Linked DNA regions of Sus scrofa. The protein of the gene in region 4 purifies or fractionates together with the protein of the main gene of each other region. This does not show direct contact. Links are inferred from orthologs where the notes say so. Each region holds a gene or a part of one and is shown on either strand. Other genes may lie near its edges.

Region 1 (4,699 bases), on a different chromosome or scaffold from region 4:
AAGATTTAATAAAATTTTGCATTGCTTCATTAAGAAACGTGAGTGAAACTGGATGTTTTTATTGCCACTGCATGTTAGCAAAGAAGCTACTACTGCTTCTGTGGTCATATCCCTGTTATGACTCAGACTGAAATATCAGCAGTTTTACCAACCCCTGTTTTTACTTCATTTTGTAAATATCAATGGTAAAGTGTGTGTAACATGTTAATAGTGTGATGGAAGCAGTTTTGGCTTATAGCTGTCTAAAAGTGTTCGAGAGACCTCTAAGGGTTGATGGACTATACTCTTAAGAACCATTGCTTTGGTGTAACTTTTCTTCACTTTAGGAAGATATAGGAGTTGTCATAAATAGCAGTAGCTAAGAAAGATGTAAACTGTAGCTATTTTCCTCTGTCTTTTAAGTTTGGTTTCTTAACTCTAGACTTTTTTGAAATGTATAAGGGATATAAACATCTAATTAAGGGATGTTTTTAAGGTAAAGAGTACTATTTATGTAATCTTGAGTTTTAAGGTTATTCACAAATATGACAAAATAATTGTGAATTAACAAGTCCTTTCTTTGTCAATAATACCATGAATTCCTTTACATTTTGTTCATTCAGTTCTTGAATACCTCTGTGAGAGTTATCATTGAATATTACCTTTAATAGATTAATTGACTGTGTCCTTTCCAGAATCGTACAGTGGAAATAGATTTATGATTTGGTTTGAGACCACAGTGCTCGTTATAGTACTCCTTAACCACCAGCCCTTGATATGTGTCATAATATTTATGAGAGCCTAAATTCCAGAGTTGGATGAAATTAGATTGAAAGCCCTGCTTCTGCATTTAATAACTTTGTGACACTTTGTTATTTAGCCTCTCCATTCCTTAGTGTCCTCATCAGTAATAGCATTTACTTTATAGAATTGCATTAAATGAAACATACCTTGTGAAACAGACTTCAGTATGCCTAGTACATACTAGTGTAGTGTATGTGAAGTGTTCTTTTCTTTTTTTACTTATTTGCTACCACTGCTTTCCTCACTGTCTTAAATATTCCTTCATTTCTTGTCATTTTGTTTCTCCTATGTTCCCTTTCCTCTTTTCATTTCATTCTTTAAGGGAGGATTTTACTAGTTAAGTAGATAGTGCAAATAGGATAAGCCCTTGTACATTTATCAGACCATCTGTTGATTTCAGAAAGAATGGAAGTTAGGGACAGATCTGCATTAGATCTACCTTAATTTAAGTATGTGGAGTAAAATGAAAACACCGTATTTTATATGTGCCATGTATTGTTCAGAATTTCAATTATTGATTCCAACGTCTTGACTCTTTCTTATTATATTTAAAAAATGTCCTCTTAGAATCCAGAACAGTTGATCTTTCAACAGACAGAGAGGATGGAATACATCATTCTTCAGAAAGCAAAGATGATCAGAGTTCATCTTCCAACAGCTCTAGCTCTCTGGAAGAAGAAGAAGAATTTTTATCAACAGGTTGGTAATTTTGGTTAAGAACTTTATTTCTAATACTAGTATTTTATGCTAGTGATTGTTATTATTGGTAAACTCCAGTGAAGTCTAAGGCAAGTAAGTCATTAATGATTGTCAAAGTGCCAAAATTGATTGCTCATTCCCATTGTGTAACATGCCGAAGGTCTGATGGCTTATAGGAGGCATAGCTAGGATTCAGACCCAGGCAATCCTCTCCAGAGGCAATGTTCTTAACTACTGTGCTATACTAGCTGATTCATGCCCTTGTCTGAAAGGTGTTAAGAATTTGTGAGGCTGTTTCAGGTACAGAATGTAGCATATGTAAAACTCTAGAGAAGATAGCATCGCATGTGAAAATTAAAAGTAGTTGTTGGACAGAAAATACTTGATTCAAGTTTAAAAAAGAGCAAAATGAACGCAGAGGAACAAATTAGAGTCAGATAATAGGTTTTGAGGGAACTGCTGAAAATGTTATGCGAAGCGATGACATGACCATTTTTGTGTTTTACAGAGATAAGCCCAATCCAGGGGTTGGCAGGTTACCTCCTGTGAGCCACATCTGGCCCATTATCTGCTTTTGTGAATTAAGTTTTATTAAAGCCATGCTTATTCAGTTATGTATTATCTGTGGCTGTTTTTGCACTATGATGGCACAGATGAGAAGACTTTACGACTTTATGGCCCAAAAAGCTGGAAATATTTACCTGACCTTCTACTCTAGCTCAAGTGTTGTTAACTTGTCTTGTGCTGTGGACTCTCTTCAGTTTCAGGAAGCCTAGACCTCTTCTAAGAAAAATGAACTACAAACTGCATTGCTTTATAAAGAAAACAAGTTAATTTGAAATGTAATTATTAAAATATATTTTTAAGGATTCGTAATACAGTAGTAAGCATTTTATTAACATATGACATAGTAGGAACCAGATGATTTGTCTGAAGTTCACAAGCTACAGGAGTACTTAGGGATGAAGCCAATATAAAGAATTAAAGCCTAGTGGACAAACGAAGCTTTGTCTAGACTGTAGATACAGTGCTGTCCAAGTCCCAGAGAACTCTTTGTGAAGGTTCTATATCTTCACTTTCTAGTACATTAGCCACTAGCCACATGTGGCTATAGACTTTTGAAATGTGATAGTGTGGCTAAGGAGCTGTGTTTTTAAATTTAAATACTCTCATATGGCTGGTCGTTACTATACTGAACAGTGCTGCTGTAGAAGATGGCAGATTAGATAATGTAAGGCAGTCATTGTAAAGTGTTGGTAGCACTGGGAATCTAAAGGAGAGAAGGCAATATTTGGGAGTTCCCATTGTGGCACAGCAGTAACAAACCCAACTAGTAACCAGTAACCAGGAGGATGCGGGTTGAATCCCTGGCCTTGCTCAGTGAGTTAAGTATCCGGCATTGCCATGAGCTGTGGTGTAGGTCACAGACGCAGCTCGGATCCTGCATTGCTGTGGCCATGGTGTAGGCTGGCAGCTGCAGCTCCAGTTCAGCTGCTAACCTGGGAACTTCCATATGCCACATGTGTGGCTGTAAAAAAAAAGCAAAAAAAAAAAAAAAAAAAAAAGACGATAGTCATACACGTTCATATACATTCTAAAAAAATCTATATTTTATATTCCCCTCCCCCATATTTGTGGTTGCCATAGGGTTCAAATATATTGATCCGTAACTATATCTATATGCTTTAAGATAATAAGTCATGCAAGTTCAAACATTCTAAAAACATATATTTTTATATTCCCCTCCCATATTTTGTGATTTTGATGTCCTATTGCTATATGAGAAATTTGCCAGTTTCCAGTTGGCTTTCTGTGAGGATTGTTCCACATGTAGATGTATTTTTGATGTGTTTGTGGGGGGAAATGAGCTCCATGCCTTCCTACTCTCCCATCTTCACTCCCTCCTGACCTCTGCCCCTAGATAGGACGACATGTGAAAATTATGTATGAGTTGTAAATCTGTGAAAACATAGTGTTTTCATTTTCATGAAGCAGTATGCTAACATTAATTCATCCCATGTTTGACCAGCATGTACTGTGTGGGAACCCTTGAGCTAGGTGTTGGATATAGATGGGACAGGATAGAAATCTCTTCTCTTTCTTGTTCGTTTCTTTTCTTTTTTTTTCTTTTTTGCTTTTTAGGGCTGCACCCATGGCATATGGAAGTTCCCAGGCTAGGGGTCGAATCGGACAGCTGCTGGACTTCACTGCAACCATAGCAACTGGGGATCCAAGCCATGTCTGCAACCTACACCACAGCTCATAATAACACTGGATCACCAACCCACTGAGCAAGGCCAAGGATCATACCCACACCCTCGTGGATACTAGTCAGATTTGTTTCCTCTGAGCCAAAGCAGAAACTCCCTGAACTTCTATTTATTTATTGTAACTTGAAAGAAGATTAGCTTTGTGTAACACTAGTATCTCACTAGTGAGTCCATTGCTTGTGATTCATCACTTAAACCCCACCAAGTCAGTCGCAGATAGAAGTTCAAGTATTTCTGTTTCTGTGTTCATACACTTGATTATTTGAACTTAACGTGTATCATCTTAACCCTGGTGGCACGTTAAAATCTCTTAGGGGGCTATAAAAACATACTTCTGGGAGTTCCCATCGTGGCACAGCAGAAATGCATGCAACTAGTATCCATGAGGATGAGGATCCATGAGGCCAAGGGATCCCTGGCCTTGCTCAGTGGGTCAGCGATCCAGCATTGCCATGAGCTGTGGTATAGGTGCCATTCGTGGCTGGGATCCCAAGCTGCTGTGGCATAGGCTGGCAGCTATAGCTCACATTCAACCCCTAGCCTGGGGAGTTCCATATGCCATGGGTGTGGCCCTAAAAAGCAAAAAAAAAGAAAAATACTGTTGCTCATCTCTGCCTCAGAACAACTGAATCTAAATCTCTGGAATGGGAGCCTAGTTGTCATTATCAGCCTTCCCGGGTGATTCTAACATGTAGCCAGGGTCAAGCAATGCTAACTTAACCTGTTGTGGTGGTTTTGAATTTTAATTCCGCTTTAGATTAATACTAGCTATACCTCCTAGCTTTATAGATGTCTTCTTGCCTGAATTCACATCACAATAAAATCATTAGAACAGGCAAGACAAAATTCAGGGCCTTCTTGCAGAACCCTACCATGATAATCTCAGAGCTTCCGGAAATGAGAAATAGCTAGCCCCCCCTCAACAAAAAGTCAGCAACAACACTTGA
Region 2 (4,699 bases), about 130 Mb from region 4:
AAGGGAAATGTAAAAGGGAGATGGAGCCAGTGGTCACTGTAGTGGACAATACTGATAACAAAACATTTTCCATTAGTGGGCAAGTGCTGCTGCTTAGGCACAAGTCCTCCTTGAAAATCATGCCTCGACCAGTCCCTATGGCTCCCACAGAAGATGGAGATCTCTTTTCTTTTCTTTTTCTTTTCTTTTTGCCATTTCTTGGGCCACTCCCGAGGCATATGGAGCTTCCCAGGCTAGGGGTCGAATGGAGCTGCAGCCGCTGGCCTACGCCAGAGCCACAGCAACTCGGGATCCAAGCCTCGTCTGCGACCCACACCACAGCTCACGGCAACGCCAGGTCCTTAACCCACTGAGCAAGGCAGGGATTGAACCTGCAACCTCATGGTTTTTAGTCGGATTCATTAACAACTGAGCCAGGATGGGAACTCCTGGAGATTTCTTTTCGAACCACATCGCACCTTTACCAGACCTCATCAACCAGACATCAGAAGCTACTTAACCTCAATACACATAAAGTGGAAACCCCAGCCCACTCCACCATAAACATGCCTAAGTTCCCAGTATTTCTCATCTCAAGGAAATGGCAACACTATCTATCCAATCAGGCCAGAGCCTGCTTGCCATTCCTGACCCCTCCCCCATACATCTCTGGACTCCCACCGTCACCCCCCATCTCAGCTGCCACCGTCTCCTCCAGACCCTGCAGTTACTCCAGTGGCGGTGAGCAGGAGCTCTGGTAGAGTTTTTCTCACGCACAGTTCTTTGAGAGAACTGAAGCCTACAGAAAATGAGCTGAGTCCTTACTTAATTCTCCCAGGGATAGCACAAGCTAGAACCATTCTAGATGCATACATATTGGAAGCCATAGGGTATCGAGTATGAATTCTCTCAGAAAACCCCAGTGAAGAAGAGCCGCTCCAGCGTCAGACTGGCTTGAGTGAGACTCCCATCTCTCCCACTAAACAGAGGAGGAGCCTGGCAGGTTATCCTGTGCCTCTGCAGAGTGAGAGCAATTATGTCAAGCTCACAGGCCTATTGTGAGGATTCAACAAGATAACCTATATTAAGGGTGTGGTACGGTGCTTGGCACGCAGTGAATATGTAATAAACACTAATTCTCACTCTCACTACTACTATTTTTACCTACGTCAATCCATTACCCTCACAGAGCAGCCAGATGATCTTAAAAATGGCAAAGTACTAAAAACCTTCCATGACCCACATAAGGTCAGCTGATTTTCAAAGTACAAAAGGAATTTAATTAAAAAAAAAAAAAAAAAAGTCTTCTCAACAAACCACACTAGGACAAACAAACAGCAATCGAGGCCTCACGCCCTCTGTAACAATGTACTCAAAATCCATCACAGACGTAAATGTAAAAACCTAAACTCATGAAACACCCAGAAGAAAGGACAGGAGACAAACTTTGCGGCCCTGTGTCAGGCAAAGACTTCTTAGATATGACACCTAAAGCACGATCCAAAACAGGAAAAAGTAATAAACGGGACTTCATCACAATGAAGAACCTCTGCACTTGGAAAAAGGATGAAGACAAGCCACGGCCTGGGGGGAACACTCTTTGCAAATCATGTCTGTGACGAAGTACTTATATCAAGAATACATACACCAAAGCTCAGTAATAAGAAAACCCAATTTGATGGTTTGGTATAGGTGTATTCCATGCACGTTTATAGGTGCTCTTCTTCCTCTTGCTATAATTTTCACTTTCTATTGCTTTATCACTGTATTTGAGAAGAGCATATTTTTAGGCCGAAAATAACATGCTGCTATCTTTCCAGAATTTCCTATGCAGTAGTAGAGAAGAGTGATACTATTTTGTGACTGCAAAACATTGAAAAGAAAATAAGTAGTTTATTCAGTCTATCTGATTTTAAATGTACGAAGAATCTGGAAATAGTAAGCATGGTGGTTTCATTAAAATGTGCACTCTCTGCAAAAAAAATAAACAAAAAAGGAAAGAAAGCCTAATTTTTAAAAATGAGCCACAGATCTGAATAGGTACTTCACCAAAAAAGATATACAAATGGTAAATAAGCACATGAAAACATGCTCAGCGTCATCAGTCATTAGGGAAATACAAATTAAAACCGCAAACACAACTATACACCCAGTAAAAAACTTAAAAAAAAAAATAAAACCCCTGAAGATACCAAGTGTGGTGAGTGGTGAGAAAGAAGATGAACTAGAACACGAATGCACTGTCGGTCCAGAAAACAGTCTTGCCCAGGCGTTTACCCAAGTGAACCGAAATGTACATACCCAAAAAACCTGTACACAAACGGGTTATTCATAATTACTCCAAACTGGAAACAGTGCAACATCTCTCAACTGGGGTTTGGATAAAAATCCAAACCAAAAATCCTATGGTATACCCACCATACACTTGAATACCATGTAGCAATAAAACGGAATGAAAGCACGACAACACTGATAAACCACAAATGCATTATGTTGTGAATGAAGCCAGACTCAAAAGGCTAGATGGCATACAATTCCGTTTCTAAGATGGTCTTACAAAGAAAACTACAGGACAATAAAAAGCTGTGGCACTGGGGGTTAAGAATCTGACTGCAGTGGTTCAGGTCACTGTGGAGGCACAGATTTAATCCCTGGCCCAGCACAGTGGGTTAAAAGGATCCAGCATTGCCACGGCTGCAGGATAGGTTGCAGCTGTGGCTCGGATTCAATCCATGGCCCAGGAACTTCCATGGGCCATGGTGCAGCCATAAAATTAAAAAAAAAAGGCGGTGGGGTGGTAGCCAAAGTGTAGGGATGGGATTGACTGCAAAGGGGCACGGGGGCTTTGGGGGAGAGGATGGAAGTGTCACACATCTTGATCTGGGTAGTGATGACACGTCTGTATGTAAATCACAGCTCCCTATCTATCATCCAGACTCCTCGTCCCTTCCCTAACTCTAGCCATTCTAGACTTCTCTCGGTTCTAGTATATCCTGCTCTCCCTCACCTCAGGGCCAAAGACTCATTTCTTCAGCTGGTCTAACAACCCAAATATTACTTTCTCGGGGTGGAAAGGAATCTCCTACACCCCTTGTCATATGCTTCCATAAACTCTGAATTCCTTTTTTCAAAATTCATCATACCTGAGATTCCTGGTTTGCCATCTGTTCATTGTGCTGGACGATAAACAACTGTGAAGGCTCTACTTCTACCTTGCTCAGTGCTAGGTCCTCCCAACTTAGAAGAGGACCTGGTACCCTACTTGCTGAATAAAATAACTGTGCTTTAGTAAGGCACTGTGTTGTCTCGTCTGCTCCTTAATGGAACTCAGAATTTTCTCCTCTACAAACCTCAAACCCAAATCAACTTTTGGAATAAAGTTAGTTTGTAAAATGGAAACTTTATATAGACATAGATCTAAGCCTATGAAATTACTTAACCAAATATTAAAATAATATATGAAAATCAAACAAAATCTCAAGTCTTTTAGACAGCCCACAGACACGTACCTTAACTGAAGACCAAAACTGTCGTTGAAAAAACAAATAAGGCCCAGAATTTTTATTTTCTAAGACACTAAGAAAAAAAGAAAAAGACGTCATGATGAAATGTTTTATATGTTCATGTGCCATCTAATTCCTAGAAGATTTCTTTCTCTATGTAAAAGAGGTGAACAAAAGAAAGAGCTAATTTTTTTCAATTTCCGAACAACTGTATTCCAGAGGATAATCATTTACTCTGAGATGGTAGGGGACAACAGAAAGCACTGTGTGCTTTTCCCTGCTTAAGGGAACGACTTCCCCACTGAGCCAGTCTCTCTGGGCTACAGGCTTACCCTACGTAGGCAAGGTCTGTATTTCATGCTACATATACTTCGTTTTCCCAGAATTTAATAAGCCTTCTCTGAAAGAGAATGCGGAATACTATCACCTTTAATGTTCTCAGGAGTTACTTACTTTTTGGGATATAAGGGCATGAATACATCATCATCTAAAGTTCTCCTCATTCTCAATAAAAGTGCTTTAAGGTACACCTAAAAAGTTAAAAATAGACCATGCATTTTAATAAGGGTTATGGGCAAAGTTAGGTTATAGGAAATAAAGATAAGCTATATTCCAAGTCACGTAATTGAGTACTCAACTCTGAGTGAACAGTTTCGAATGTCTGACCTTTCCCACCAAAGGCCCTAAGGTTTTTAATACTACTCTTAGTTCACATCAACGATCAAGCAGTAAAGCAACTGAGAAATCGTCCAACCCCTTTTCTGCTACATAAAGATTTAGGATCAGACCTACACCCTGGTTTTTCCAAAATGAGGTCAATGAAAACAAAACAATGATAAAGAGAACTTTCCCATGTCTAAACAGCTCCTAAGAATGTCCACTGGGACAGCAGTTTGAACTTTGGAAACTAGGTATAAAACAATACCTAGTGGTTTTAAACATTACTGAAATGTTTCCTTATTTATATCGTCAGTCGTTACCCATTCTAGTAGTCTTAGGTTCTTTTTCCTAAAAAATACATTTCTTCGAGGGAGGTCTGATTAGTCCGATTGAGAACGGGGGTAGGGTGATGAGCAGGGCGACAAATGGCATAAATGAAGGGCTAATACCGTCACCCTTCCACAGAGATTTTAAAACTAAAAACTACTCTCTCAAATGCTGTATATTTCAGGTGACAAAGGATCAGATGGCCCAAGTGGGAGAATCAGATTTTCTGA
Region 3 (4,699 bases), on a different chromosome or scaffold from region 4:
AGAAACAGACTCACAGACAAGGAGGACAGACTTGTGGTTGCCAAAGGGAGTGCGTTGAGGTAGGGATGGAGTGGGAGGCCGGGGTTAGCAGGTAGAAGCTATTACACATGAAGGGACTAAACAAGGCCCTACTGTTCAGCAGAGAACTACATTCAATGTCCTATGATAAACCACAACGGAAAAGAATATTTTTTTAAAAAGAGTGTGTGTGGGGGTGTGTATGTGTGTGTGTGTGTGTGTATAAAAAACTGAATCACTTTGCTGTACAGCAGAAATTAGCACAGCACTGTAAATCAACCATACAATGGAGTATAGTTATTCAATAGAGGAACAGTTAAATTACAGTTTTTAATACTACTTATTAAGAATTATTTAAAGGATAAATTCTGTGTAATATTTTATGAAAAGAATATATTGGCCCACCAAATAAACTTACGTAGAAATTAACTTACATAAAACTTTTAGCTGGAGAAGTAGGAGGGGCTGTTCCAAAATCTTTTCCTCCATAAAGATGCCAAACAAGGGAGACTTCTTTAACCACGTACCGAATTATAGGAATGGGAAAGTGTAACGGGGCTTTGCTTGTATCTGTCTTCTTAACAGGCAGACTAAAATAATTATCTCTTATCACGATTGCATCATCGACCATTATTTTTACAACTGGTTCTTCTTCCTTCTCCTAAGACAAAGACACAGACGGCACACACTCTCTTATCTAAGTAGAAACCACCAATTACACTGTACCCCAAGGGGTTTCTTGATTTTGCATTCTTCCCAATAATTTCAACACATAAAGTAGGATAACAAATACATTAATCGTCACTTAAGATGTTTTGCTTTATTAACTAGAAAATGAACTCTCTTCTATGTGAATTACTCCATAAGAATTTTTTACAGTCTATAATTTGGCTTTTACTACTTGTTTGCCAATAAAAAGATACAGATTGAATGCCCAGTCATTTTATTTAGTGAACTGTGGATTCATTAAGTCCAGACCATGCTTTTTAAATGTGAGCATGATGCTAAAATGGAAATTATATATATTAAGAAACCATCAGCCTTCACACAAAGTACATCTTATCCTTCCCAACTCTTAGGTAACAACTCTGTACAGAAGTTCTTTCTGCCGTTTAATTTCACTACCCTGAAGAGGTATCTTACTACATACTATCTCTGTAGTTCAAGAAACCATGTCAGAGATTTTACAAATAGAGAGCATTTTTCTAAGTCTCTAAGGGACTTAGAAAAAGGAGCCAAGTTCGAACATTTACAAAGCATCAACAGTAAGTTACAAGAGGAAGAAATTCTGAAGAGTGTACAGTTTACAAAATCCAGAGAAACTTTTTCAGGTGCCCATTGGTCAATTCAATTGTAATACTATTTTAAGACTTTAATTTTGTTATCAATTTATTACCTGAATGGTTGCTTTTGGTGCAAAAAGAATGCAAAAGTCATCATTCTCTGTGGGCGCGCCTGTCATTGCATCACTGGTCAAGTGGTGAGTGAATGAGGCATAGGTGGGGCCAGGCTCCTGGGACACATTCCCACTCTCATCTGGGAACAGGAAGAGGTCTGAACAACACGGCTCCTGAATTTGAGACTTCGCATCCAAAACACCTAGGTAAAAAGATTCCAAGGTTCAATTCTGGCACATTTTCAATTCTGGCCAGTATTATTTATCTACTAGACACTCACTAAACACGGGCTGTTTGACTAAAACATCCACCAAAGCTCAGGCTTGTTTTTTTCTTTGATAAGTTACTTATTGAAGAATTTGTAAGAACACAAAAAATATAAGCCTCCACTACAAATTCACAGCTTCCAGAGAAAATGTCCTGGTCTGTCTCACCGTTAGACTGTGGTTTTACAGACGAAGCAGCTTCTTGCATATCAATCTCCTCCATAGCGTCACTCATCAAATCTCGTAATATCTGCTGATCTGCTTCAGGAAGTACTGGACCACGTGAGGATGATCGGCCACTAGAATCTACCTACAGCCAAAAAACTTCATTAAAAACAACTGAAAAATGCTCTAAGAAGCAAATTACTTAACATTATTTTGTCCTAGAAATACACTACATTTAAAAAACACCAGCAGAGTTCCCGTTGTGGTGCAGTGGTTAACGAATACAACTAGGAACCACGAGGTTGTGAGTTCGATCCCTGGCCTTGCTCAGGGGGTTGAGGATCCGGCATTGCCGTGAGCTGTGGTGTAGGTCGCAGATGCGGCTCAGTTTCCACATTGCTGTGGCTGTGGTGTAGGCCAGCAGCTACAGCTCCAATTAGACCCCTAGCCCGGGAACCTCCATATGCCGCAGGAGTGGCTCTAGAAAAAGGCAAAAAGACAATAAATAAATAAGTAAGTAAGTAAGTAAATAAAAAAACCAGAAAGAGGAACATATTCATTTTTCTATATTCTCCCCCAGCAGCTGTTACATGTGCTGCGTTCATTTTAAGTTTTTAGTATCATCATTTTCACTTCCAACAACTCCTGGAAAATAGGAATAAATGTGTTTTGATCTGAAAGCCAGCAGAGTGAACTGGAATCTTGACACATTAATACAAGAGTAGAGAAGGAAAGTGGAAAAAAGTGCAATAAAGCTGAAGGAGAGGAGATCTGTCTAAGGGAGTGTGATCTGCTTAAATCTGATAGTTGCCATGACCTTCACCCTCTGAGACAAAGCCACTGGAGGTCAGAGCCTCATTTCGTGGAACAGACAGACACTTAAAGACAGTAGGGGGTAGAGCTAAGAGGGGAAATCTACTAAATGGTAATTCATGGCTTTCAATTCCATCACAGATGCTTAACCGTTTTTGTTAGTGAACTGTGATTCATTAAACCCAAACCAGGCTTTAAAAAATATCAGCATGACTCCAAAATGGAAAGATCCCATTAGAAAAAGGGATAATTTAAAATAACTTTTAAGAAGCAACAGGAGAGAAAGTGTGTCATTAAATCACTTTATTACCAAGGAGAATGTAGCAGGAGCGAGGAAACAAAAACAGAAGTGTAACACAAATGAGGTGTAAGATCAACCTGAATGACAGACAACGCAAGGCCTATCCGTCCCTTAGCAGAGGTTGCATTAACCTAACGGTTCGAAAAATCTCTTCACAGAAGAGGCCATGAAGAAGAATGAAAACACTGAAAAAATAGAAAATGCTAAACAAACTGCATATTGTTCAAGACAGGGCAGAGCGGTGACAGATGGGGCCATAAGAAAGCACTGAACTGAGAATCAAAATATCTGGGGATTGCTGCTGAGTCTGCTACTAACTAGGACAAGTCACCTAAGTTCTCTGGGTCTTACCACATTCATCTGCAAAAGAGAGATGGCCATGTTTAACCTCTCTAGCGCCCTGGGTAAAAGGCATCACATATGAGAAAGTACACTCAAAACTGGATGGTGCGCTAGATAACAAATACAGATGATATTATATAAAATAAGTCCTTGGTAATAATCTTAATTCCTGCTGTCTATCTTCTTACAGCATCTTTTATATACAACTTGTAATACAACAGGCTGTCACATGATAAAATATTTTCTTCCTTCCCTGAGGACACATGAAAATAATTTAAGTCTGGGAAAACGTACATTGATTGAGAAGATTAACGTCCTGAAACAAAGAATATCAAAGAGTAAAACAGTTTTCCAAAAAGGCCCACGGAATCACCTTTCCAGACTCCACCACTCTGAAAGTAAGGAACAGACAGATGATTGCTCAAAGGTTCCCTTCCATCCTATGACTCTCAAGCAGACCTCAATGACGCAAACATGCCACTCATGTGGCTGGCATGGGGTGGGGCTGAGTGAGTTCTGAGGAGTAGGTTGGCAGCTGTACCTTCATCTTTCTTTGAGGGGCTCCAGGCTTCATGTCCGCCCTGTTAGCCGCATGTAAGTCCCCATAGCTTGCAATATACTGAATGAGATTCATTAACGCAGCACAAGAGTCTGAGCATGTTCTAATATGGACAACGTCACTCGAACAGTGTAACTCAAAGCGTGGCTCAGTCTGGACAGGATATGGGAAAAAAGGATAAAAATGTTTTCCAGAACAAGAGGAAAAAAATTTCTGCATAAGTTTACATTAAATGAAACATGGTAATTTGTCTTGCTAAAGGAAATAAGTATTTATAATAGCTCAGTCTTAATTTTAAAATATTTTACCTATTTCTGACCAAAGTTAGGTAAGTGTAAAAATAATTACACAGTAAGTTTAGTATGTTTTCATTCTCTTCCATTAAAAAAAAATAGGTCTAGGAGTTCCCACAGTGGCTCAGCAGTAACGAACACGACTAGCATCCATGACAACTCGGGTTTGATTCCTGGCCTTACTCAGTGGGTTAAGATCCAGCGTTGCTGTGAGCTGTGGCGTAGCCGAAGACGTGGCTTGGATCCTGCATTGCAGTGGTCATGCAGTCGTCATGGAGTGTCAGCTAGAGCTCTGACTGGACCCCTAGCCTGGGAACTTCCATATGCTGTGGGTGTGGCCCTAAAAAGACAAAAAACAAACAAACAAAAAAACCTGTTTATTTTAATAACTTACTTGCTCTTCATCAGAATCAGACTTTACTGCAGTTATGGTTAATTCCAAAAGCCCCATATCCATCACACGAACGTAATCTAAAAATTTCAAAAGTAATGAATAAAATGTCTAACTTTCCAAAAATGCTTAACCAACAAAAACGAACATTTCT
Region 4 (5,162 bases):
TGGTACATGGGTCTCATGTTGACTCTCAAGGCCAGAAAAGCTCTTCTGGTCAATTCTCTCTCCACCTTGGGATGACATCGCAGGAGTTTTATTTGGGGGGGGCTCTCTTTAACTCCCACCTGACCTTTGCTCATCTCCCCTTTTCAAAGCCCCCAAAGCAGCAGTTTTACAGCCTGCCAGCAAAGGAAGGAGCTTGAGCTGAAATGTGCTGTTGTTCTCACTGCATTTATTTTTTACCATGAACTTCTATTTATGGCAAATAAAAGTGGCTTTTTTCCATTGATATGACATAATGTTTCCTTTAAATACAAGTTTAAGTTTTTAAAAACAAAGGCTGGAGTTCCCATCATGGCTCAGAGGGTTAAGAACCCAACTAGTATCCATGAGGATGTGGGTTCGATCCCTGGTCTTGCTCAGTGGGTTAAGGATCTGGCCTTGCTGTGAGCTGTGGTATAGCTCACAGACTGCTCTCAGATCCTGTGTTGCTGTGGCTGTAGACCAGCAGCTGCAGCTCAGAATCGACCCCTAGCCTGGGAACTTCCATATGCCGTGGGTATGGCCCTAAAAAGAAAAAAAAGGCTGAGCCAATAAAAACTACGAAGTCAATAACAGAACAGGCAGTGTGAGGCCATGGCAAGTCCCCAAGAGTGATCTGCAAACAACTGATGTTTGGGAAACTCTTGGTTATTTCATCACCCCCCCCACACACACACCAGACAAGACTTGCTCCATTTGGCAAAAAAGACACTGAAGCAGAAAGAAGGAAGTGTTCAAGGGCATAGCAACGACAAGAGCATGATGCTCTGGCTCTAGCAAAATCAAAGGACAAGGTCAGAATGTAGGGGACCTGTTTGCTTGTGTTACCTTTAGAAACCAACCCTGGTAGAAACCAGCTAGCTCCATACATTTTCGACAAATAGCATCACATATAGCAGGTATCCCCCCCCCCCAACCATTCCATGGCTGCAAAGAGCCAGCTCTTTCCTTGGCACCCTAAGACCTTCCCCATGTGGCCCTGCCTCCTTTCTACCCACAGCCTCAGAGGAGAAAGGAAGGAGCTCAGGAAGACAGTCAGCTCAGAGGAGGGGGAGGGGACAAGGAAACCTTTGGTCAAGCTACTGGGTGACACAGGAACCCAAGAAGGGGCAATGGGGGGAGTGACTTGGGCCGGCTGGCAGCAGAGCACAAAGGACCACGTTCAGGAAGGCCAGAGAATACCCGGGGTGAGGCGGGCTGGTTGCGCTCACCCTGCCACAGCTCTCGCCATGGCTGCACGCTGCTGTACTCGTTTCTGCTTAGTATTTTTCTTTGAAGACTCTGGTCACTATTGCAAATGGAAAATCACTACCGCTTGCCATAAACAGAAGTTGACCAAAAATAGAAATACAGAAACAAGTAAGTGTTATTAATCTCTGGTTTGATTCTATTTTCTACAAGGTGCAGACGCTGGGGTTTGTTCTAGACTGGTTAAAAAGGGAGATGCTCTGACGTATTAAAGTTGGACAAGCTCCAAAGTGAAACTTTCCCCATGGTGTAATCAGGATTGTGTGATTTAAAGATACTCAATACTTCACCCTATGCAGGTAGCACTTCAGGTAACATTTCCTACCTCCTTCAGTTAAAGAAACCTCAATACAGGGAGCTAGAATAGTCTTTTCACCAGAGTACTATGACGCCTGAACTGTCTCCACCTTAACCAGACACCTGGATTACAAATCGCAGTTTGAAGAGTGAAGGGGAGGCGTCTGGAGCTCTGATTTCCAGACTCCATTCTCCCACTTAAGAGCTGTGTGTCTTTGGGCACGTTTTCTAACCTTCCTAGGCCCCAGTTTTCTCCACTTGTAATCAGTGGGGTCAGAGCAAAGGTGGTCCACCTCCTGGACTCTAGGAGCCTGTGGGTTACTGACAGTGCATTCCTCCAAATGGCAGCTTCCCTGGGCCCATGGTAAACAGCTTTCCCGCTACTGGGCCTCCAGGGGCAGAGACTGGCTTCAGGCCCCCAGCCATAGGGAGCCAGTGCAGGTGTGATACAGGGGCATAGCCTGCTTAGAAATTGGTGTTGGAAACATCCTTTTGACAGCACAGGTGGGAGGCAGCCTGAGGGCTGACATTGCAGGTGGGAGGCTTGGAAGCCGGTGTTTGGGAAAGACGGCGGGGGGTGGGGGGGTGGCAGGTGGGTTGGAGGAAGCAGATGCAGGGTGCAAGTGGGGCCTTCCATACCTTTGAGGAAGCTGATCACTTTGCCCCATTTTCCTGCATCAAAGGGGTGCAGCTTTTCCAGGCCCATGAAGGTTATGTTGTAGCGCGGTGAGTACACAATGGGCCAGCGCGTCTCCGGCACATGCTGGTACAGCTGGGTTGTGTGTGGCCTTCCATGAGCAGAGAGACAGACACACACAGACAGGGACAATCTCAGTGTGGGAAACTGCCTCCCCTTCTGCACCAGCAGGCTCTGATTGAACAGACAGTCCTGATCCAGTCCCGCAGCTCCCTCAGCGGCAGAAAAAGGGCCACTTAGCAACAGCAGCAACAATAATAATAGAGCTCCTCCCTGAGCTTGCGCACTCTCCAGCCCAGTCCTCGCAGCCGCCCCTGTAGTATGTAGGCACCACCATCCCAGCAGAGGCGGGAGAGGGGACCAGGTGTGTCCAAGATCACACAGGGCCTGTGGAGCAGCGGATGTGCACCCAGGTGTGTCTGGCTATAAGGCCTCAGAGCCTCACCTCTACACGATAACAAAACAGCCAACAGCTGTGTGGCTTTAGGCCTCGCTTTCCTCAACTGTAAAATGTGTGGCTGTAGGGAGGCTTGAGATAATGCGTCTAACGACCGAGCACAGAAAGCGCCCTATATCTGAGAGCTGGTGGTGGCAGTTCCAAGAAACAGCAGGTCGCGGCTCCCGCTGGCTGCGGCCCAACCCAGAGCTAGGAATGGGGGTCACTTCGGCCCCGCCGCGCAGCTCACCCCCACCAGACACACACCTCCCCGGCCGCTGCGACACAGGGAAAAGAAACCCTGCTGCCACTGCGGGGGCCTCCGCACAGCCAGTGGAGCCCGAGGGCAGACGTCAGACCCGCGCGCGTCGCGGGCCGGCGCCGGTTCCAGAGGCCGCAGATTAGTGGCGCGGGGCTGGCCCTACATGCGGGGCCGGCCTGAGCACACGCGGCCCGAGCGGTAGCCCTCCATACCTGGGCCCGACTTGGCGGGCTCTCCCAGCCGCCTGCGCATTGGTACTCCCACCCAGAGGAACCCTTGGGAACCCTCAGGGCTTGGCCCAGCGCCCCACCCCGCGACCCCACCCCCGCCACACTCACATCCCGGGACCTGGCCCTCCCTGCGCGGCCACTGCTCCTCAACCGGGCGGGGCGGGGCCGCCGGGGCCGCCCCGCCCAGGACACGCCCCCGGCCTCGGCCGCCTCCGCTAGGGGCGGTGCTCCGAAGGCTTGGCTCCGCCCCGCCCCCACCCGCGCTGCGTCACAGAGGGCTGGAGTCCCGCGCGGAGCTCTTGGGGGGAAACAGCCACGCCCCCAACTCCCATCAAGCGCGAAATTCCGCCTTCCGGGGACAAATATCCAGTGGGATCGCGCCTGGCTCATAAGCCACGCCCCTTAGGGGGAGGGCAGCTCGTCACAGTTGGAATGGAAAGCATGGTCCCGGCCCTGGGGAGGGGCCACGTTATGCCCCGCCTTGGGCCGCTCGTCCTTTCTGCGCTGTGTGAAAGCTGGAAGATCCTAAGAGATAGAAATGCCAGGCTTCCTAGCAGAGCTGTGTGACCTTGGTCAAGCGTCTGCGCTCTGGGGTCTCTGTTTCCACGAGTAAAATGGGAGCGTGGGGGCCGTGTGTTCTGGCCCTGACATCTCTGACTTAATGAGATCCACGACCTCTCTGACTTGAGGAACATCCCCTCGCAACTCCCCAGCCCCATCCTTGGTAGTTCTGACAAGCGACAAGCGCTCGCTCCCCACGTAGTCACTTAGGCTCCCTAAGCCTCAGTGTCCTTATCGGTAGAACCAGGCTGGTGATCCAGTCTTCAGAGTACAGTTGTTTATCTGCACACCCCCCCTCCCCCACCTCGGGAAGCCAAGACAAGCCCCGCTGACAGCTGAGAGTGTCTTGGGGGTGGACACTGGTAGGAGCGCCAACAATTGAGCCCCAGAGGACAGAGACAACGGGCTTCTCTGTTGGCCCAGCTGCCCCGCCCATCAAACAGAAGCAGCTGACCCCAGGGCTGCCCGGAGCAGGGCAGCTGGGATCCCTAGTGGCTCCGTGAGAGCGTCGGTGTGACAGGGTGCAGCACTGTAAGGAAAGGGCCCAGGCATTTGAACAGTGCCCTCCACGTGCCCGTCCCTTGATTACATGATGATACTAGATTCTCACAACCTAATACCTCCAGAGGGTACCATCATCACCCCACTTTCATCAGGAGGTAACTGAGGTTGAGGTCTGGGTTAAAACCAGACTCCCGCCCTTGCTGTGGCCTTAAGCCACTGGCTTTGGCTTTCTGACCCTTAATTTTGTGTCTGAAAACGAAGTCATGGCTACCCCTTCACCCCGTGGGGAAGTTGAGAGAATCAAAAGAGATGATCATGCTGATTATTATTTAAACAACATGTAGTGTGTGCTAGGTTCAATTCTAAAAGCTTTGTGCTCATTTGATCCTTACTGCAACCCTGAGAAACTGGTTATCCCCATTTTACCGATGAGGAAACTGGGGCACAGAATGAAGTCATTTGCCCAAAGGTCAGGAATGTGAATAGATAAACTATAGCCACAGAAAGAAAAAGTTAATATTGAATAATAGCAACAAGGGAGAAATTGCACACAGTGGCCTTGTATTCCCTGAGAGTGACTGAATTCATCTCAGGGAGCTTGCTCTGTGGTTGGGGAAGCCACATGGATGAACTTCTTGTTGAGAGAACAAAGATCTGGGGCAGACTAGATCCAGGCCCTGAGGCCAAAAAGAGTGAGATTGCTCTGGGTAAGAGAGTTTTTTAGGTTGTGGCCTGTGTGGCTGAGGAGGGAGGTTGTCTGGGGAGCCCCGGGTCTTGAGAACACCCTCAAAGCACAATGCCAGCCTGGATCACCACCCACACTAGTACCTTTGAGAGAAACAAATCATATTATTTGCGCTGAGCATTTGGGGGTCTCTTTGTTACAGATCC

What was found.
Region 1: the proteins of HDAC11 (region 4) and GCFC2 purify together in Homo sapiens (co-immunoprecipitation; 3 studies listed by BioGRID and IntAct, counting the BioPlex papers as one, with this or other methods). This does not show direct contact. The link is inferred for Sus scrofa from reciprocal best matches to the Homo sapiens genes HDAC11 and GCFC2.
Region 2: the proteins of HDAC11 (region 4) and PAXBP1 purify together in Homo sapiens (co-immunoprecipitation; 3 studies listed by BioGRID and IntAct, counting the BioPlex papers as one, with this or other methods). This does not show direct contact. The link is inferred for Sus scrofa from reciprocal best matches to the Homo sapiens genes HDAC11 and PAXBP1.
Region 3: the proteins of HDAC11 (region 4) and ATG2B purify together in Homo sapiens (co-immunoprecipitation; 3 studies listed by BioGRID and IntAct, counting the BioPlex papers as one, with this or other methods). This does not show direct contact. The link is inferred for Sus scrofa from reciprocal best matches to the Homo sapiens genes HDAC11 and ATG2B.

The regions. Positions count from the first base shown.
Region 1 is NC_010445.4:67,550,170-67,554,868, forward strand, and holds part of GCFC2 (GC-rich sequence DNA-binding factor 2), read left to right. Parts: intron 1-1,350; coding exon 1,351-1,482; intron 1,483-4,699.
Region 2 is NC_010455.5:196,343,182-196,347,880, forward strand, and holds part of PAXBP1 (PAX3- and PAX7-binding protein 1), read right to left. Parts: intron 4,013-4,699; coding exon 3,936-4,012; intron 3,556-3,935; coding exon 3,489-3,555; intron 1-3,488. UniProt on the Homo sapiens protein: Adapter protein linking the transcription factors PAX3 and PAX7 to the histone methylation machinery and involved in myogenesis.
Region 3 is NC_010449.5:117,534,298-117,538,996, forward strand, and holds part of ATG2B (autophagy-related protein 2 homolog B), read right to left. Parts: intron 4,626-4,699; coding exon 4,549-4,625; intron 4,015-4,548; coding exon 3,844-4,014; intron 1,992-3,843; coding exon 1,850-1,991; intron 1,618-1,849; coding exon 1,415-1,617; intron 680-1,414; coding exon 453-679; intron 1-452. UniProt on the Homo sapiens protein: Lipid transfer protein required for both autophagosome formation and regulation of lipid droplet morphology and dispersion.
Region 4 is NC_010455.5:70,876,443-70,881,604, forward strand, and holds the start of HDAC11 (histone deacetylase 11), read right to left. Parts: upstream 3,422-5,162; 5' UTR 3,317-3,421; coding exon 3,315-3,316; intron 3,279-3,314; exon of another isoform or gene 3,189-3,278; intron 2,370-3,188; coding exon 2,221-2,369; intron 1-2,220. UniProt on the Homo sapiens protein: Responsible for the deacetylation of lysine residues on the N-terminal part of the core histones (H2A, H2B, H3 and H4).